3 linked regions of the Lytechinus pictus genome follow. The protein of the gene in region 3 purifies or fractionates together with the protein of the main gene of each other region. This does not show direct contact. Links are inferred from orthologs where the notes say so. Each region holds a gene or a part of one and is shown on either strand. Other genes may lie near its edges.

What was found.
Region 1: the proteins of E3 ubiquitin-protein ligase COP1-like (region 3) and tribbles homolog 2-like purify together in Homo sapiens (affinity purification with mass spectrometry; 4 studies listed by BioGRID and IntAct, counting the BioPlex papers as one, with this or other methods). This does not show direct contact. The link is inferred for Lytechinus pictus from reciprocal best matches to the Homo sapiens genes COP1 and TRIB2.
Region 2: the proteins of E3 ubiquitin-protein ligase COP1-like (region 3) and DET1 homolog purify together in Homo sapiens (affinity purification with western blotting; 11 studies listed by BioGRID and IntAct, counting the BioPlex papers as one, with this or other methods). This does not show direct contact. The link is inferred for Lytechinus pictus from reciprocal best matches to the Homo sapiens genes COP1 and DET1.

The regions. Positions count from the first base shown.
Region 1 is NC_087245.1:26,667,753-26,675,717, reverse strand, and holds the start of tribbles homolog 2-like, read right to left. Parts: upstream 3,004-7,965; 5' UTR 1,862-3,003; coding exon 1,607-1,861; intron 613-1,606; coding exon 320-612; intron 1-319.
Region 2 is NC_087249.1:4,384,707-4,392,293, reverse strand, and holds the start of DET1 homolog, read right to left. Parts: upstream 3,004-7,587; 5' UTR 2,745-3,003; intron 1-2,744. UniProt on the Homo sapiens protein: Component of the E3 ubiquitin ligase DCX DET1-COP1 complex, which is required for ubiquitination and subsequent degradation of target proteins. The complex is involved in JUN ubiquitination and degradation.
Region 3 is NC_087259.1:28,175,102-28,182,076, forward strand, and holds the start of E3 ubiquitin-protein ligase COP1-like, read right to left. Parts: upstream 3,020-6,975; 5' UTR 2,984-3,019; coding exon 2,958-2,983; intron 2,592-2,957; coding exon 2,494-2,591; intron 1,614-2,493; coding exon 1,549-1,613; intron 709-1,548; coding exon 592-708; intron 52-591; coding exon 1-51. UniProt on the Homo sapiens protein: E3 ubiquitin-protein ligase that mediates ubiquitination and subsequent proteasomal degradation of target proteins.

The DNA.
Region 1 (7,965 bases), on a different chromosome or scaffold from region 3:
TGATAGTAATACATAAGATTATTGACCTGAATCATCCTTTACCCTGCAACCTAACATGTAACTGTGTATTACATAAATGGCAATAATAGATTACCAGTACTTTCTAACAATTATGAAATGCTTTTGTATTGAATTGATTTTTTCTATTACAAGTACAGTGTAACATAATTGGGTTTCCCATCGATTTAGACTGACATTAGAAGACAACAACTGATAGATATTATCCTCAAGTGAGTCAAATCTCAAATGTACTTTGTGTCAATAAATCAAGAGAATAGTAAAAGCCTTGACATTTGACAGATTTGACACTGTGCAATACCTTTCTTCTTTCTTGAAGACAAACTTGCGCAGCTTCAGGTCCCGCAGGATGACGCCATGGGCATGGCAGTGAGCAACGGCTTGCACCATCTGATGAAAGAGGGAGGCAGCCTCCCGCTCTCGCAGCTTGCGCTTCCGCCTGACATAGGAGTGCATGTCTCCATGGGTGATGGGCAAGATGACATACGCCTGACTTTGACCATGCAACACCTCTTCAACATGGTTAATATGGGGATGATAGCCTAAGTGAAAGTGTACAGCAAATGCCTCCCGGTATTTATCCACATCCACTACCTGTATTAACAAGAATAAGAACAAAATCATCATATTTGTATGAATTGTTGCAGTATACATGACATGTACAGTAGGTCTGTATAAATGACGATATCACAATATTGTCAAATTTCAATGATGTGAATACATGTATATTGAAAACGGTATACAAACTATACATCATAATCCAAGATATGAGGATTCTCGTATCTGGATAGGTTGAAGGCTATATTTACCACTTATTGAGTTTTTAAGACTTAAGAAACCTGTCTTGAATAAAATGCTAATCATTGAGTTACATGTACATGTAGATAAGAGTAATAAAACGTTTTTTTACCATGGTGAAAGAGAAAGTATTGTCAACCCCAATCACTTTCCTTTTAATCTCATCCATTGCACCTGCCCGAGTACTTATTATAGCAACACAAATTTTGCATTACTAGTATATTTATAGAACTATGATGTGACACGCACCAAATACGGGAATTGGCCTGGACTTTACCAGCCTCAAACGTTAACCTACATGTATGTGTACATATGACAGCCATTGACGAACTGTTAGCACCAATCTTTCCTGATGCCTGTGTACATGTTGGAGCGATGATCATCTACATTCATAGAGCACAAATTTTAGATAAATTCATATAATAAACAGAACTACGAAGAAAAAGTGGGGAGATGAAATGATAAGCTTGCTCATTGTTACATCATGCATGTACTTATGAAGACTTACAATGTAAATTGATACACTGACTGAAGTTATGACAAACTTGAGTTTTTCAAAAGTTGTTTTCCTTGTTTAATGAAATTTTCAGTGAAAATTCTATTGGTCTGATTCTACTTTTTCTGTTCAACACTAGTTCAAATCACATTTCTTTCAGCTTGGAGTAACTCTTTACAGTACATTTCCTAAAGGGGTAGATAAGAATTCTGTATTGCTGTTAAGCTTCGACATTGAAGGAAGAAGGACTGCCCATAAAAAAAAAACCTTAATTACAAAATCTTCTGAGCTCACCTTACAAATGCATTCTTTGTTATTTAAAGTATCAATACACTTGTTTACTTTCGGAGCTACTTCCTCCAGGAGAACATAATTTCCAATTCTCGAGACTACATGATCCTCACTGGATACAAAACTTGGCGGACTCGGGGAAAGTTGTGGCTGAGGACTCAATTGTCCACCAGTTGATTCGGAAGAAACGTCCTGAAATATTTGAAATTTACCCCGACCATGATGGATCGGAATAGGGGCAGATGCAAAATTGTTCATCAAGTGACAATTTATTTCTGATTCCTCTCTGACCCGATTCAAGCTCAGCAAATTAAACCTCTGACCAAAAAGAGAAACAAAATTTTGCTAGTTGTTTTTTACATCAACAGTGCTACACTAGAACTTTAGGCTACTCTTTTGGTTTGTAGTTGTTTGTATCTACTATGGTTAAAAGCAAAATTCACTTCAATAGTTCACAGGTTTATTCCAGTATACTTTCGGCCGTGTATCTTTCTCCGTAGTTGTGTCCTGGGCCTCCTGGCTTCTTAACACACCGATGAATGATGCTGCTTAATATAACATTAGCAGCACTTAGGAAAGTTAGTTAGGCCTAGATTAAATTACTAGAGTTAGATGCTCCTTTTCAACAACCCTGAGATTTACTTTTACTTTAAGAGAAGTCTCTGATATTATTTACGTGAAATAGATAGCAAAATATTGGCAACTGCCAAATATCTGATTCAGCTGCGCTGGAAAATGGAATTAAAATCATTCAAGACAATGAAGAGGTCCAGATCCTCTCAATTTTATTAAAAACACACTGAATTGGTCCTGCCAATATTCATATGGAATTTCAGTTCACTTGTCAAGTTGTCTTCAGTTCAGGAAGTTCAGCTTCACAATTCAATTTCTAGGGCAAGTCCAAGAAAAACATAAATAACAGATCCAGCCGTCGTGTTCGGAGCTGAGTCGCTAGTCCAGCTAACGTCAAAGCTTGTGTTGAAGACGGTAAGATGTGCTTGCTTGATATTGTAAACGTGTAAATAATACACAATTCATCGAATGACGCAATACCAATCCGAATCTGATCAATGCAATTGCAATGCAGGGCGTCGTAACGTTGTCTCTCTATGCCACGAAATAGGTTGCACAATGCTGAGTGATGACGGACTCTGTAAATTTTTTTGTCAGGGTGATTTATCGAATTCCAAATTGTTTCCTTCTCTGCCAAAAGTTGAGACTCCAGAGTGATATTTGCTAAGCACCGTTAGATGCTTTCTAACGACGCCTTTACCCTGCTCAGTGGATGGTCTCTGAAAATTCGAGAGCCAAAGGCGGCTAATTGGACTCCGTCGGTGCCATTTTGATTGCAAAATAAAACTTTGCGAGCGCAAAACGCGCTTACGCGCGCGTATCCGAATTATTACACACAAGCAACGAAACCCAATTCAAGCTATGCAAACAATGATTGCGAAATACTACGTGACATGATGACGCAGCGATGAGTTGTCATCCGACACACCATATTTGGAAAACGAACATCCTTATACGTTGGGCATTATAGGTCACATTATTCTATAGAGATATATAAACTCCGTATTATTTAGCTCCAGGATTTAGCTAACATGCACCCCGGCACGCATCCCTCTATAAGAAAAGAGAGAGGGGCGGGGAGAGAGGATATAGAGAAGGAATTAAAAGAAAGGAAAGGAGAGAGAAAACTGAGGAGAAAAAAAAGAAGGGAAGGGATCATGAGGAGGGAAGAGAGAAATAAAGGAGAAGAAAAGAAGAAAAAGAAATTTAGGGGAGAGGAGAAAGAAAAGGAAGGGAGAGAGAGAGAGCTAGCATGATAAGTGGAATGAAAAGTAAATGAAGGAGAGAAAAGCGGGGAGAAAAGACAAACTTAAACTCGAGGGGAAGAAATATCACTGATTTTTTTTCAACAAAATTTGAATATATGAGTCTCAAAGCCCTTAAACCCCTTTGTACCATGGAGGTATGTTTGCACTATATAGATATCATTAGAATTGAAAAGATAATGGGAAGGGATAGGCGGATCTACGGCCCTATGGGGCAAAGCGAAAGAGAGAGAGAGAGAGAGAAGACAAAGAAAAGTAGAAATGGAATGAAGAAACAAAAGATGAGCTGGAATGAAGAGCCAAAAAAAGAGAACGGAAAAAACAAACAAAAGAAATGTGACGAAAATAAGAGGGGGAATGGCAATTTTTTAATCTTAAACAAAATTAATAATTCTTCACAGGTTCCCTTCCGAGTCAGGAAAAAGATAAACTGAATTATCAAAATTGTTCATTGAATACACATCTTTACTTTATTTCATATTGTACCTAAAATGTATAGTTTTCAGATCGAAATATTAAATATTTTCAGCTCGCGACCACTGGACGAGGCGTTGGAAACATAAACACAAAGAAACGGGAAGAGCGGCTTGATTTGATCAAAGTCATCTCATCATACACTCTTGACTGCCTTGCTGTATGGGATAGGACTTTTTTTGTAAAAAAAGGGTATGACCCCACCGCTTACATTCACGCCACGAAGAGGAAAAGGGGAAGGGGGGAGAGAAATATACGCCTACATAAGAGGGAAAGATAAGTTGAAGGGGAAATGGAAAATAAGAACAGAGAGGGAGATTAAGAGAATAAAGGGAAAACAAAAGAAAAGGGAACATACAAAACACGTCAGAAAGAACAGACCCACCCCCGGGGGGGGGGGGGGAGGGTATATACTCACGAAATAAGGCATACGGGGATGTGCCGCTGGAATGGGTCGCTTTTTGGAAGAATTCCCTAAACATGCATGGGTATGGTTTTATGCTGGAAAATCCCTAAACATGCCCCCAATTTTTAGATACTGGCCTTAAACATGGGTCCATGGCCCCATTTTTTAAATACTGGCCTTAAAGATGGGTCCATATTCTCCATTAAAAAGTTAGTTTCGTTCATGCTTGAGCGAACACGGAATGTTTTTGTCTGGGGTTCAAAAAGAGGCTTGCGCCAAAATGGTAAAAAAATAGAAATTTGATGATCAGACTTCTTGCAGCAGACTTCCTCTTAATATTTTTATTATCTTTGCCATGATTTTCGAATTGTGCTGTCAAATTTCACTTTAAAAAATTACTTATTTACTTGAATTATTTTGGTTTTTTTTCATTTAAACTTCTTTTACCTTTGAATTTTAATTCATAAGAAAGAAAAAGAAGAACTTTTGTCAACCCAAGCAAGAAGATTTGCATTATTAATTGGGAGAACTTGTAATTATTTAAATCCTTTTATTATGTGAAACGAATTATATGTTATGGTACCTTTAAAAAACATTAATCCTATTTTCAAGGGGTTATGTGCTGGACAGGACAAAGAGGAAAGGATTCATGTCTTTCAATGGCAATGGTGTATTGAGTCAATTTTGAAGGAGCTAGATATGGCAGATCGGATAAAATATATTAAAAAATTGTGAGCGAGTAAAGCGAGAACTCAAAATTTCCACTTTTTTATTAAAATATCAAATTTTGTGTTAGATTTTGACATAATATCAAAAAATAAATTAATCATATTTCACGTTCTATCTTTTCCTTTATTTCCTTTCAATTTATTTCTGGCCACGATTTTTTTTATTTGGGGGCACCCCTGAGCCCCCACCCATCTGTATGCCACTGTTCAAAGGCACCATAACCTTTGTAGTACACAATGAAAGATGTGAAAAAAAATACACGCTCTCCCATACTTCGGTTGAATAATTTTTGTGTTTACTTAAAGAAGGAATATTCAAAGCTTAGAGAACATAAAAAAGAAACAACAACAGAACAATTCAAGCAAACAAACAGATTTGAAAATGAATTTTGACCTCATAATTCGAAAATTATGGCAAAGATAATGAAAAGGTTAAGAGGAAGTCTGCTGATTAGCAAGAAGTCCGATCATCATATTTATTATTTTATGCCATTTTGGCGCAAGCCTCCTTTTTAACCCCAGACAAAACATTCCGTGTTCGGCCAAGCATGAACGAAACTAATTTTTTAATAGCATTTGAAAGATACGACTTCAGAGCACCTATTAACACCAAAATAATATAGACATCATAATAAGAAATAAAAAATTTAAAGACTTTTCAAATCTGCCCCGTTTTTTTATACGCAATGTAAAGGACACTCATCCAAACTCTTATTCTTTCTTTCAGTCTCTTGTGAGACCTTGAATAGAATATGAACTCCGAATAGATGGCGCTATAAATGCAAATTGTTGTTGTTATTATTATTATCATTATTATTATTATTATCAGGCCCAGGGGCGGATCCAGGATTTTCCAAAAGGGGGGGGGCACAATGATATTTTCCCGATGAAAATTTGACAAGAAAAAAAAGGAAAAAAAAAGTTTTTACCAAAAATTGAAGGTCATTTCGTCCGCGGTTCGGAAGGGGGGGGGGGGCACACTTGAGTAAAACGGAATATTTACATTATAAATTTTGATTTTGGCTCCCAAAAGGGGGAACACGGGCCGGCTATGCACCCCGGGACCCGCCACTGATTAGGCCTACTAATAAATAGGGGAAGTGGGGTGGGGTAAATTAAAGGATGACAAAGTTGATTTCTACTATCAAGTCTCGCGCAACGTTTCTTTGAGACCAAATTTGTGACGCCCGGGTACGCGGTTTAGAAATTACACAACATTATAAAAAATTATTATGTAAGAGCATGTCAAACCAAAAATTGCTCAAAAACGTAATTTCAAAGTCAATACAAAGCGTTTTCCAGCTAAAATTCCCAAGTAACAACTACTCAAATGACTGCATGCAGCGGAGGCAGGGGCACTTGCCCCTCACCCCGAAACTTTGACAATTTACATCTTTTACTGAAAATTTTCCCAAATTCACCCAAAGTATGCACGAAATCCTTTATTTTCACTTTACAAAATGCTAAAGTGCCCCCAATGACAAGCTTGGTTGCTTCATACGCTCGCTTTCATTTTTTTTTCGAAAAAGTTAACACATTCCCCCCCCCCCCGCAAAAAATCTGTGAACGGCCATGTTTACTTTAATTGAAAGCAGTCTTATAATTTGATATACTATTGATGGCCGAAACAATATCACGGACGGATTTTGTATAAAAAAAAAATAATAAAAAGAACATAAAACAAAGACATCTTAGACATTTAAAAAGAAATAGGCCTACATAAGAATTCGAGTTTGGTATCAGATTTTTTTCATTTAAAGTGAAGGTCATTTTGGTTACATTTTTCAATTCTTTACACATCTTCTATAATACCTTGGGGTGCTCCCTATGCAGAATAATATACGCAGCACCCCAAGGACATTTTTTATGGTGCTTCAGGCCTTCAGCACCCCAGCACCCCCGCTTCCCAGGGCCATGATTTTCGTCAAAAGTTAGCCTTCTAGAACCGTTATAGCAAAAAGTATGATTTCATAAATTGTTTAACATAACTATTCGTATAAAATGTATAGATTTATTGCAATTATAACCTATATCGCGTAGATTATGTCATTCTCTACCCTCTTGCCAATTTTCGTCACGATCGCGCGATTCCCTGTCGGAATCTTCGAAGGGGGGGGGGGCAAAAAGAAAAGATTTTGATTTCTCACAAGATAACTGAACATGATGAATATAAATATGATGTGGCAAGTAATAATTCTTGTTGACAGGTTCATCTAGGTTCTTAAAGGTCAAGTCCACCCCAGAAAAATGTTGATTGAAAAAATAGAAAAAAAATCAAACTAGCATAACGCTGAAAATTTCATCAAAATCGGATGTAAAATAACAAAGTTATGACATATTAAAAGTTTCGCTTATTTTAAAAAACAGCGATATGCACAACTCAATGACATACAAATTAATGAAACAGTCAATGATGTCCCTCACTCATTATTTCTTTTGTTTTCTATTGTTTGAATTATACAATATTTCATTTTTTACAGATTTGACAATAAGAACCAACTTGACTGAACCATAAAATATATTAAACAATGCTAATTCCACATGAGCATGGGGGAAATACCCGTTGTTTCACTTGACAATGAGGAGAAAATTAGAATATTTCATATAATAAAATACAAAAGAAATAGTGAGTGGATAATGTAATCAGTCTCCTCATTTGCATACCGATCAGGATGTGAATATAACTGTTTCGTGAAATTAAGCGAAACTTTAAAATGTCATAACTTTCTTATTTCACATCCGATTTTGATAAAATTTTCAGCGTTATGCTTGTTGGATTTTTGTCTTTTTACTAAAATAAACTTTTTGTTGGGGTGGACTTGTCCTTTAAGTTAGGCTTAAAGATAACTTTAAGAAGACAATGAACATGCGCGGATCCATATAGGCCCGACGATGGCTAGCTTGCCCACCCCCCCC
Region 2 (7,587 bases), on a different chromosome or scaffold from region 3:
AAATTTGCTCTAACAATTTAAATTGATAATGAATGACCATCAATTCATCAGAAAACCCTCCAGTTTGCAAGTTCCAAGGGACTCGCCTCTCAAAAACTGAAAGAAACCGAAAGGCTAATTCCTGCCCACCCTAATTTTCATACCCTTTGTTTAAGCGGGTAGTGCTCACTCAAGCATGAATAGTTTTCCAACATTTTGGTGTCATTTGAAAGACGACTTTATCGGCTTTCCATATATATATGTCTTTTCCCCCAAAGTGATATACTTTTTATTTGGCAGCCATTTCAAAAGTGTATAGTTTTTTTTGGGACGCACTGTATATATATATATATATATATATATATATATATATATGTATATGAAATAAGCTAACACGAAAAAAAGACGTTTTGGGGACTTTTAAATAAGAATTCATGAGTGGGATAGGGGGATAGGTAACTATCTATTCTATTCTTGTTCGTTTTCTATTATTATTTGTGTGTTGTGTTTATTTTTCTTGAAGCACCAAAAGGTGGACATGTCCGCTAAGATATATTAACAAAGTCACCATTATTATCACAAGCTAACGGATCAAAATGCGAGCGTGAAACGTGAGCTTCTTTTTTTCTTAATTCAGTCTTAACGATACTTTTTCATCATATTTTATTTTAGTTATTTTCAATATTCCGAACTGCATTCTGGACGTTGTATAAGCGCCTTTGTATAACAATTAAAAGGGTAGGCCTATTTACCTTACAAATTATGCGAGCGCTGAACTTTTGGACATTTAAACCTCAACAAATGGACATTTTTAAAATATGAACAACATCATAAATGTCACTTACAAAAATGATGCCAGCGCGAAGCTCGCGCTTAGAGTTATTGATATTGATGACAGGACTGTATCTAAATGAAAAATAATGCGAGGGCATTTGAACCTTTATAATCATGAAAAAGAAGGTATTTTTATAAATAAAACATGGGAGTCTAATTTTGTTTTAGTGTTAATATGCAGATCTTCAAACTTGACATTTTCCTATCCCCTTCATCATCCCCTCTCCTTCTCCCTTTCCCCATTTTCGTCTTCTCCCTTCTTTTCTTCTCTCCCTTTCCCTTCCCTTTTTCGCTTTTCCTTTCCTTTCTTTTCTTTCCTTTCTCCCTCCCCTACTCTTTTCTCGCTCTTTCCATTTTTCTTTCCCTCTCCCTTCCCCTCTTCCTTTCTTTTGTTTTCTTTCTATTTTATGGTCTCCTTTTCCCTCTCTCTCCTCTACTTTTCCCCCTCCCCTGATCTGTCTTTTATTGTCTCTCCTTTCCTTTCCCGCCCCCTCCATTCCCTTTCTCCCTTTTTCCTTTCCCTTCTTTTCTTTCCTTTCTCCCTCCCCTACTCTTTTCTCGCTCTTTCCATTTTTCTTTCTCTCTCCCTTCCCCTCTTCCTTTCCTTTGTTTTCTTTCTATTTTATGGTCTCCTTTTCCCTCTCTCTCCTCTACCTTTCCCCCTCCCCTTTTCCTTTCCCTTTCCCTCTCCTTTTTTGTGCAAACATTAACACGAATATCTTGCTTCCTACACACACACACAAACGCCCGCAATCTAACACACGTAATGCGAAACAATCGGGACATTATCATTTTGTTCATATATATAAATGTATATTTTCTCAATGAACATTTTCATCTATTTAAAGCTTTGAAAATTATTAAACAATGATTCCATAGGCGAAATCTCAATGATCATTAGGAAGGTACTTTACCCATTTTCATTTTATGTCATTGTGATTATTCCATACTAAGGCAACATATTTTGGATATAAAAATACGTGAAGGATATGTTCCTCTTCTGTTTTATACTTTAACAGAAAACATTTTGTTCAACCAAATTATGATTTGTATTTCCAAGTTCCATGTAATATTTTCATTGGAAAATCTCTTAAAGGTCAAGTGCACCCCAGAAAAAATTGTTTGAATAAATAGAGAACTATGTTGATTTTTGGTACAATTTCCTATTATGCGCCGACGACTTGAATCGAGAATGTTCGATAGGAAAATTTCGCATTTCGATTGTTGTTTGCGTAATTTCCACCGCAGTACGAAGGATGACTAAGGACGGACCGAGCGAAGTATCCTGGTTGAGATTTGGAGGTAAGCGATAAAAACACTTTAATAAATAATTTATAATTTCTTTTTCTAAAAAACTTAAACCATACGATCAAAATTAACATAGTGGACAAATATTGAAAGGTTTGGCGTAGTTTAGTCCCTCACATTCGTGTGATGAATGAAAACGTCAAAATGCACTATGAAATCACATGTGTTGTGCGAGGTTAGTATACTAACCTCGCATGTTGTGTGAGTGGTTCTGACTCTAGTCTACGAAAATGTGTCTTCTACAGAAACATGTACACTTCTTTTTCAGAAAACAAGAGTTCTTTCCTTAAATATATAAATAGCTAGCACCTCAAAACACTTTAAACATATCCCGACAAAAAAATCCCCAAACTTCGAGATAAACAACGGCTCGAAATTCCTATATTCTGTGCAGATATGGAATGACGATTGAAAATGAAAATTGGCAATTTATCATTCGGTGTGCTTCGCCGCCGATCACAGCTTCGACTTACAGCATTATCCAATAATAAAAAAAACACTACCAATTCATCATAAGTTACATCTGACTATGTCTCTTAGTCTTATTAATGAGAGAGAAGTAAACTTAGTGAGACCGTCCATAGGGATAGCGCCTTTTCATGCACTTATGCATGTATACTTACACGAATATAGACATGTGGGGCACGGCACTTGACTTGCTTCTCATTTGCAATCAGCGTACCTCATTGCTCATTCCATCTATTGCTGAATTTTGCATCTTAATACAACAATGAAGAATTCTTGGCTTAGTTATGATGAATATCTCCTGAAAAATCGATTAGCATCCATGTTCGCAGTGTAAAATCAAAGCCACTTCAACTTAAATTGTGCAGACTACCAAGGCCAAGCTCAAGTAGTATGAGTACTCCTTAGCTTGATAGAAATTGATGAAGACCAACGAACGTAGAGGGCAGCAAGTGTTCGTTAGCGTAGCGTTGGTCAGTGGTTGGTGGTGAAGACTGGTAGACGGTGCTCATAAACATGTGGGATATCTCAGTTGGAAAAAAAAGTGCACTGAGAGTTGGGTGTGCAATTTCTGTTGTAAAAAGAACAACAACAACAACAAAAAATAAGAAAAAAAAACACGTACACAATAAACCCCAACTTGCCCCAAATTCTAACACAAATACAGCACACAAAACATAAACCAAAGATGAACTCCAAGCGAAAAAACAAGTTTTTCAGGAAGAAACGAACTAGCGATAGGCCCTACTAAAACATTAAAAAAATGTTTTCTTATATTTCATCACTTTCATTTGAGATCATATTCCTAATACATTTGTCTGCGTGTCACGCGGAGGGGAGGGGGATATAACGTTATGCCATGATATTAAATAAACTGAATACATTGAAACAACTTAATGCAAGATTTGAGTTAAAAATAAAAACAGAAAGGAATTAGGAAATCGAGAGCTGTAGATCAACATTTGGAATATTTGCATTGAATTTGTAAATGGGTGTCGTATTGTTCACATGTTTTTCCAAAATGAATGGAGTCTATTAAAAGCAAATGCATAGCCAGGCGCCTTAGCCCACTCGGCCACGGCACCTCTACTTAACTGTCCCATTGCCAAGGTCTAAAATAATATATTTTTGCTAAATAAAAACAATATCCATCTCGTTCATTCTTATTTTCTGACGGAATGATTTTGTATTTGAATCAAATTCTTTTTAGAAGTATTATTAAGAATTTTGTTTATAGTTTCTTTAAATTATATAATCCTTTTGTTTTTCAATTGTGTTACGATAATCATGGGACAAAAACATTACTCGAAACACAATGAACAAGACTTGACATTAATTGCACGATTGGGAATAGATTTTTATGGGACCATTTAATTTTTGCTGACTGAAATTATATTTGTCATATATCATGATCAAGATATCATCAATATTGAATACTTCTTCTTTGGTGAATAAGAACGAGAGTTTAATAAGTATTCAAAAACACAGAAAATATGCTCCGTATATAGGCTATAACGAAGTATTCCCCCTTTATTTATTATTAAATACAATGCATATTGCAAAGTGTCCCGTACGTGCATAATTATGTCTAAAATTCATAAAACCACCATTACATAGCTATTGTGTCTATTCTTCAACATAAACAGTTTATGAAAAATATAATTATATACTTAAATGATTTATTACCACCTCCAAATTCTCCAAAGAACAAACGTAGTCGACCTATCAATAAGTTTGACATGCTTGATCTAATAAAAGAAAAATCATTGGCTAATTATATATTGCAATTTTTATGAAAAAAGGGTTTATTACAAAATAAAAATAACTAATATGAGATGAGATTATGAAAGAGGTTGCCTTCAAAGACTTAACTATTTTCAGTTCCCAGAATTTTATTTGCCTTACCTATCAATCGCAATCGTTGATTTTGATTGATGGAAATCACAAAAAACTATGGTAATTGCAATTTGATTGAGTAAACTTTTAATGGAGTTGCTTTCACTGGTTCAACATCAAAGTCTTGTGCGACATTTTTCTGTTGAGTGGGGTAACCTTTTATCACCATTTTAAAATTTGTTATTGACAAGTGCAAGATGAAATTCTTTGAGCACGTCTTTACCTAACGCCATTTTGGTATTTTGTAGTACCATGCAAGCAGCTTTCCCGTAAACATAGTTTCTTGGATTTTGGTAAATATTGTTATGAAAAGAAAAGCATGCTGGAAGGATCTGCGGGCACATAATGATTATATTTTCAGATATTAAACATATTTCACATATGTTAACCTCAAAAGCTTTTCAGGATAAAATGGGTTATGGACTTTCAGAACATGGAATGCAAACTTTTGTTGATAGTCAATCATATACATACGAAGCTGCATGTCACAATCATGTCGAAAACCCTGCGTATTTATTTAAAGTTTAAGTGTAAAGAAGGGGGGGGGGAGTGGCAATGGCGTACCTTGGGTCACGGCATTGGGGGGCACCAGCAAAATTTTTGAGTCACTTAGTGAGCTCGCGAAGCGCGCTCAGTTGCCAGGTATACTGACCTAATAGAGACATGTTCAGGACAGTGCCATTAAACGGATATGTATCTCACTGATCAAATAATGCGAGCGCGTACTTAAAAAAAATGATATTCAGACCTAAAATAATATTAAGAATAATAATAAGAAGAATCCATTAAAAGGGGACATTATAAGCAATTTTTTGTAATCAATATTAACATATGCATCTCACTAATCAAATATTGCGAGCGCGAAGCGCGAGCTGAAAATTTAGGAAATTCAGACCTAAAGAGGCATTTCAAGGATTGTTTGTAGGATTTCACGAAGACCGCACTTATTTCACTAACCAAAATGATGGGAGCGCGAAGCGCGAGCTGAAAATTTTTGATATTCAGATCAGAAAAAGGGACATTTTAAGGACTGATTATAGGAATTCATGAAAAGGAGCAGATATATCTCACCAATCCACTAGTGTGAACGTAAGCACGAACAGGATATGTTTCATATTAAGACCTTAAAATGGGGCAATCACTTTAAGTAGTCATGAAAAAGAAGCATATGTCACTACATAAAAAATAATAACTGGAGGTGCGATGAAATATTTGGTGTATATTGACTTGAAAACGGGAGGTTTTAGTACAACAGGATTACATATCTCGTTAAACAGACAATGTGAGCACCAGGGACAATGAAAACATAGGCCCTGAGCAAAACATTGTTTCATAAAGTTATGAAAAAATTTGTTTCTTATGTAATATAAAATAAAATAATTATAACATAATATAACATTATAATAAACAATAATTTTTTTCTTCCCCATTACGTTTCTTTTCCTTTCTCCCTCTTTCTCTCCATTTCCCTGGTTCCTTTTTGGCCTTTGCTAGCCGATTGGGGGGCACGTGCCCCCATGCTCCCCGTTGCGCCATGGGGGGGGGGGGTGGTATGTATTCCGATCAGTATGGTAAAAAATAAAACAGTTTGCATAGATCATATGAGGTAGATTTTTTGTTTTTCATTATCCTAAGTCATTAAGAACTTCACAAAGCTGTGGTGATTTGATTTTGCTTTACAAATAGACTCTCAGAAATTCGATTTACCACCTCAAGAGTTCGTTCAAATATGAACCTAATAATTGTTGGTCAAAACAACCCCAATTATTTTGCATGGAATTTTGTTTCAACTAACTTTCAACTAACAGTTGGTAGGTCCATATTTGAAATAAATTTTGGGTTAGTTAAAACATTTCTAAGAGTGTAGGTCGACATGTCAACTGAATTATTCGAATTGATCGCCCTTTCCTGGTCGTTTGTGTAAACCTTCCCGAAACGGACAGTGTCAGAATGTTATCCAAAATTCTTTGATCAAGTTAAAAGAAAATAGCCAAATTGGAAATTCAATTGTTATAAGGAATCACAGAGTTTTGAATCTGAACATGCTTTATTAACCCAGCACACTATTTGTTGTGAGATCTATTTGTATTTATATCATTATATTTTTTAATTTCACATAGCATTGCCAGTCACCTTAATTGCTCACTACATTTTGACACCATTCTGTTACTTTAAGAAGTATAAAGCCATCACACGTAGTTAAGAAAAGTTTTATTATTAATAAAATTATTTTATACTGCGGAAATTGATTTTTCACAACTACGTTCAATTTTATTTTACGATATAACTTCATCGAGTCTTCTTTGAATCTGCCCGAAGTAGTTGTAGTGGAGACACCGCGTTTAAAACAAGGATTATTTTTAAAAGATGGATTAACAGCGAAATTTCTCTTATATTATGTTCGAACCCGCTAGCAGAAACAAGGGCCTGTCAAAAGTCTTAAAGGACAAGTCCACCCCAACAAAAAGTTGATTTGAATAAGAAGAGAAAAATCTAACAAGCATAACACTGAAAATTTCATCAAAATCGGATGTAAAATAAGAAAGTTATGACATTTTTAAGTTTCGCTTAATTCCACAAAACAGTTATATGCACATCATGGCTGGTATGCAAATGAGGAAACTATGACGTCACCAACTCACTTTTTCTTTTGTATCTTATTGTATGAAATATAAAATATTCTAATTTTCTCCCCATTGTCAAGTGATACAATGATTAATTCCTCCCTGTGGAATTAGCATTGTTTAATACGTACTATATGGTTCAATCAAGTTGGTCCTTATTGTCAAATCTATAAAAAATGAAATATTGTATAATTAAAAAAAAAAAAAAAAAAAGAAATAGTGAGTGATTGACCTCATCGACTGACTCACCTAGTTGTGCATATAGCTGTTTTGTGAAAAATATGCGAAACTTTAAAATGTCATAACTTTCTCATTTTACATCCGATTTTGATGAAATTTTCAGCACTATGCTAGTTTTACTTTTCTCTATTTATTCAAGTCAGCATTTTCCTGGGGTGGACTTGGCCTTTAACCGTCCTCACAATGGTATATTTCAGAATCATTAGAAAATAAATGCATTAGGTTAATAGTTGATGTAATG
Region 3 (6,975 bases):
GGCTTCATCAAGAAAATCTTTCAGGATCTGGATCTGGGCTACCTGGTTGTCCTATGGTAGAAACAAAAAGCAAAATAAAAAAGAATATTATTATATCAATAATTAATTGAATAGTCCTACTAGAATCTGAATATTTTAATTCAATGATATCTACTATGATTTTAGGTATAAGATTCATGAAAGCAATGTGCAGCATAGAGCGCAATGATGCTTAATGACGTTATAATGAACTACAAAAGTCGCATTAATTTGATCCCATGAAGTGAGGCTGTAAATGACACGACTTGCTCAATACAATTCCCCCTTTTTTTGGGGGGGGGGGGTGGGATAGATAATTATGATAATATTGGATGGCTTTATGTCATGGAATACCATAAATATTTCAACTGTTAGAGCCAATATTCCAATTAAATGCACTTCATGTAATATTAGCCCTAACTCTTGGAATATTTCTGGTATCCCATTCTGAGACATCAATTACAATATACTTATTAGTTATTATTATCATAATTACGACTTCATTGTCTTCTGCTACATAATGCAGCAATATCTCCCTGTTATAAAATCATATGAGAGTTATTTATTTCATACCATCTCCAGCTTCCTTTTCTTGCTGACTAGTACTTCTAACATGAGGTTGACTTCTGCTAGATCCCATTTCTCTTGGTCTTGAATAAATTCTTGAACATCAGGTGTAGGACCACCAGTCTAAGAGAAATCAATCAATGTATGTAATAGCCTTGTTCTAATGTTGTTGTTTTTTACATTGAAAATAGCGCATGCTAATATTTGGAAATAGTTCACTAAAAGTTTGAAATCATTAATCTGTATTAAAGCCTTATATTAATATTGTAATCTTCCATGGAAAGTATTTCTAAATACTCTTGAGTGAAAATTTAGCTATTTAAAAACAATATAATGGCCTTTTCAATTTTCCAGTAAAATTAGCGTATTGATAAATCTAAATGCATGATATGGTAATATCCATGGCAAGTGTTTTCAAACAGTGAAAATCTGACTCAATTTTTCAAAATGATATTTAACAATCGATCAGTTGAGAGGAAGACTTTTGCTCACATGTTCCATATTTCTCATTTCATGTAGTATTACAAACAGAATCTCCTTTATAATTCAACCAAACTGAATTAAGGCTGTCATTACTCTTCCCTAAACCAATATGTGATGTCACATCTATACAATAGTTTCAGAATTTGTATTATTCTACAAACAATATAAGTTCTAGCGACCTTTACAGTGAGAAGAATCAGACTGCATTTTATGTAACCATATATTTCCCTGGTAAAGCAATGGAAAAAATTACACAGGGGCTCAGGGTGATTTTGCCCCCAAATGGTCAAAAGAGCTTTGGAAAACCCACATTAGATTGTTTACATAACCTACTGCACAAATCTGTAATATTGGATAAGCTTGTCCAATATTACAGATTTGGGCAGTAGGTTGTGTATAGAAGTCCCTAAAAATGAACTATCAATTTTTTACCTGTGGTAAAGCTACACGTAGAACTTTCGTGAATCTAAGGCTTCTTACCTGAGGGCCAAGTTTTAACCTTTTCTCTTCAACTCTTTGTCTGTACTTCAGAATAAGTTCATTCACTGCAAAGAGAGAGAGAGAGAGAAGAGAGGTAAAAATCAAGATAATATACAGTGTACCAAACAAAGTGAAAACTATGTGTGTTATATCGCATTCACTTTAAAACAATTCCATGATTTATTGATGTCTTTATGTGGGAGCTTCCTAAAAGGATTGTCTCTGTTCTCAAATTCATATGAAAAGTTGTAAAGCTATCAAATCACCGTGAAGTGCCAAAAGGATTGGAGAAATTGGGAGTCTTTTGTACAAGAATAATTATTTTACTGAAATGCAGCTACATGTACATGCAGATTGTAAAATATGAACTCTTTCAAACTTTGATTATCAATTCAAAACATCTAAAATGCATTTCAAAGACCTGTTGACATAAAAATTTACAAGGCAATATGAGTACAGGTACATGCTATTATATGAAAAAGCAAAGCAAATTAGGTTTATATCACTGGTGGTTTTGTTCACCTCCTACATATAATGTGCACAATTAAATAATTCCAATAATTAGTTGCTTTATTGCTTTTTGTCTTTGTGAACTTGGACCATTATGCCCAGTACCCATCTATGGATCTTGTCATAAATATATATTCTCCGTCTTCATTAATATCAAAACAAAACAACTCTAATTACACAAGGCACCTGCCCACAGCCTCCAAGAAACTGTATTGCATGTTGTCACAGAGTCACAAGCAACCTCCAGAAAACTTCTACGGTCACTTATACAACACTGCATTCCTTGCAAACACATTAAACACAGAATAAAGACAATTTGCAAAACCAATAGTGCAGTATAATGCTTTCACCTTGGCTCCCTAATTTAGTCTCCTATCAACTCGTCAACTCGTATGTACAATATCGCATTACCTCGCAATAATGTACAAAACTTACAGGCAAAATTTGGAAATATTTGGTCAGTCTTCTCTATAACAAAATTGCACTTTGGACATCTGTTGCTTGTCTCCAGGCTTCGCAATATACATCTCCGGCTAAGAAAGAAAAAAAAAACATAAAATTTTAAGAACAGAAGAATGTAAGATGTTTGTGCTTTATTCTGTATGTGTGTGGTTATATTACCTGATAACATAACCTGCATAAGAGTGTTTTTTGACAGACATCCATATAATTCATTCATTGTTAAAGTTTCAAATCAATATTAAATGTAATTTATGTTTTATTTTTAATTTGGTCTAATGCGCCTTAAATGGAAGATGCCCTTTCTAAATTATAACTATTGTTATTATATCAGTAATCGTTATTATCATGTAGTCATGGTAGGTACCACAAGAAGTTCAATTGTATTGCCAACAAACATATTAACATGCAATTAGAAAGCTTCACTGATTTCATCTTACCAGAAACTGTGTCCACATCTTGTCATATGCGCCTCCTCAATAACTTCAAAACAGATTGGACTGAAAGATACAATACATGATCTAGAATTAGTAATTTCTCACAGAAGAATGATATTGTAAATTTCCAGGAAAAAGGTATTAATAAATGTGAATGAGAGTGTTAACATGTCTACAAATGTCTCCAAAAGAGACTTTAAAAATTCGATATCACAAAATTCATGAGCATCTATAGGTAAAAGATAAACAAAATTGAGTATAGAAGGGGGTGGTTGAAAACATTCGATATCAAAGCTATCTAAATCTTTGGTAAATGTTCAATTCAATTCATTTTATTATCATGTAATCACTAAAAACATTAAAACTGTTGTGAGACTCTTGATGCATAACATGATGAACAGGAAAGTGCACGTGAAAAAGTATTTATCACATCAGGGACACAAATTACAAATGAATATATCAGAAACAGAAATAATTCAGATAATTTGAATTAGACTAAAGTATCATCAAACATTCTAACATGACTGTTTATTTATTTTTTTAAGTTACAGCATACATGTACAGGTATCTAGTGACCTACATGTAAATGTGTCTTGGAAATATTCTGATTTATATTTTAATGGCCATAGAAATTTGGAGATAATACATGTATATCTTTATGAATCACAAAACAGTACATGTATTGTTGCAACTACTAGAACTTCGCAACAATGGCAACTCCATATCTTTAGAAAGGAAATAAAACTTGTTTTGCATTATGAGGAGGTAAACATCAAGATATGTATATATATATTTATATATATATTTTAATGGATTCATTGTTTATATTAGTCTGCCCACCTGTGTGCTTTGAAACACCTGTATGAAGCGGCTATATTTATATACATTATTATATTTTACATTTCATATAAAATAGTGATTGGGTAAAGTAGGTCTTCTCATATTGACCATGGTGCGCATCGTTTTGTGATATTAAGGAAAACTTTATAACATAACCTTTTTAATTTTACATTTGATTTTGATGAAATTTTCAGTGCTACATGGATACTAGTTTGATTTTTCTCTTTTCATTCAAACCAACTTTTTTGTTGGTGTGGACTTGCTCTTTTTAAGGAAGCATTGAAATCATTAACCACTTTTATAAATGATGGTCTATTTCAAATGCCTCATATCATACTACACATGTAGCAAAACTGAAACTGTCAAGTTTTTCTATTATTAGCCTAGCTGTCTGGTTTAATACTTTATATAAATACATGTACATAGTTAACATTTTTTGTTCATTTCATCTTAAATAGGTACATATAAATTCTTGTTAAACTGCATGGTTGAAGCAAATAGGGGAAAAAATCTATTCACCAAAATGACCCGTATTCTGGTTTAACTTTATTAGACCATGGTCTAACTCTGTGCTGAAATTATGGAAAGCCAAATATGTCAAAATTTTGTGTACATTTTAAGTTTATTGTGTTTACTTTGCTCTTTCTTATAAAGTCTTTGATGGTGGAGTTGACTATATCTTTCACAAACAGTTAAAGGTCAAGTCCACCCCCGAAAAATGTTAATTTGAATCAATATAGAAAAAATTAACAAGCACAATGTTGAAAAATTTCATCAAAATCGGATGTTAAATAAGTTACACATGTATGACATTTTAAAGTTTTGCTTATTATTCACAAAATAGTTATATGCAGAACTCAGTGACATGCAAATGAGAGTTGATGTCCCTCACTCACTATATCTTTTGTTTTTTAATGTTTGAATTATAAAATATTTCAATTTTTACAAATTTGACAATAAGGACCAACTTAACTGAACCATAAATTTTAAAAACAATGGTAATTCCACATATTCAGGGAAAATAAAACTTCTTTTACATTACCATGAGGAGAAAATTAGAATATTTCATATAATAAAATACAAAAGAAATAGTAAGCGGGTGACATCATCAGTCCCCTCATTTGCATACAGACCAGGATGTGCACATAACTGATTTTTCTCTTTTTCTTTAAACAACTTTTTGTTGGGGTGGACTTGTCCTTTAAGAATGATTCGAGAGTCAACTGAGCTGATAACATTGAACCTCTACTGTTAGGAATCGATGCAACAAATTGACTTTCTATAGTTAAACCACAACTTCAGACCACAGTTTGAATTTAACCCAACTTCAGAATACAGGCCATGGAGTTTTTTTTTCAGTTTCTCCTTTGTGTGCAGATGTTCATCTTCAAAAACTTTAAAACTTAATTATCTTACCAATTTATACAAATAAAATGGGCTGGTAAATAGCAGATGTTGCCAATTTGAGGGTTTATCATGTACATGTAGAATTGCACAAACTAAGGTATCACTTGATAATGTGGAAATCAATCTGATAGATATTGCAGTACTGTATATCTGGATGTGTATTAGCCGCATGCCTATTGGGCCTGGGAACGAGGAAGGATTTTTTGGCACAAAAAGCAATCTTCCCAGGGTTCACTCTCGTCACCTCTTGTCACAGTGGGTGGACCAGTGTGGTCAAATACATTTCAATATGGGTATGAAAAAAAAAGGCCCCCCCCCGTGATTTATTGAACGTACCTCCACCATGCCCCATGGAAAGATAAGGTGACAGAAAGAGAGAGAAAGAAGAAGCGAATAGAGTAGAGTACATGCATATACAGATACAGTATCGCTCGAAATAAAGTTGACAGATAACGCACGTGAAACGCGCTAACCAATGTGGGTCTGACTATCGCAATATTCACGCGCGTGAACGTCAGGCCAGTCTGAGGCAGATATCGCCGTGTTCTTGCCGGTGATTCGGCGCACGGCCACGGCCGCGAACTACTGTCTCGAGCTGCGATAATTATCGCGATAGGACTCCAATCAGCGAACCTTTTCTATATCATTCGCAAAGATTATGGGCATAGATTATTTCTTTGAATTACATTTTCGATAACTGATTGGCTTGGAAAACAACTCACATGTAGCGATCAGTGGAATCGCTCTGCTTTAGAATAAGAATCTAGAATCTACTCGGCCGCGCATCACATGCCTGGCCAGGCCAGCAAACAATCTTGGTTCACGTTCCTGGCCTCAGTTCTCCGCCGTACGCGCGCGCCTGCGAAATGAAATGGGTTGATAGACGCTGACTACGAGTTTGTATGCCAGCGCAGCTGTCCCAAGCAAAGTACTTAAATTGTTAACGTTGAAATAGATTACTCACAATCGTCCCTCAGACCATGGACCTATTACATGCTCAGACCCAACCAATAATTATCCATTTTGTTTCTTCCTTCTCCAGCTCTAGCTAGGGTCCGAGTATCTGCCTGATGTTGACTCTTTGCTGGCTGAGCCAAATCTCAAGGCCCGTATTTAGAGTCACATAGCTTTTTGCATCATTATTATTACTACTACTACTATTATTTCTATTATCATTATTATCATAATCATCGATGTTATCATTAATTCTACCACTATACCGGGTTTTTTTTTTCTAATGAGACCCGAGCCCTATAATGGATTGATTTAACTTGCGTGCAATTACACGAATGTAAGCTAAGAATTACCAAAATATGGACCTCTTAAGTGTTAAAAAATAGATTTAGTGATTTTGTTTCAAGCATGATAATTGTTTTGAGGGAATATCACATAATTTACCTCCCTATAATTCTCTCTTTTCTTCCTATTTCTCCACCTACTATGATCCCCGTTATGATAATTTTGTGTTCATTCATTAATAGAGAGTATACTGAAAGAAAGAATAGAAAAACACAATTACAATTATTATTATTTGCAGCTCATCAGTACGATGCAGCATTAACTTAAGTTTACGTTTGAAACAATAATTGAGTGAATAATTCGTCGAATTAGGCAGTCTTTAAATCAGTTTTCTGAGTAACTTACGTGATGACAGTGATGGTTATTATGATCGTGATGACAGTGATGGGTATTATGATCGTGATGATGATATCGAAAAGAAAGGTAATGACGGTGATCATGATGGTGATGATTGTGATTGTAATCCTAACGATGA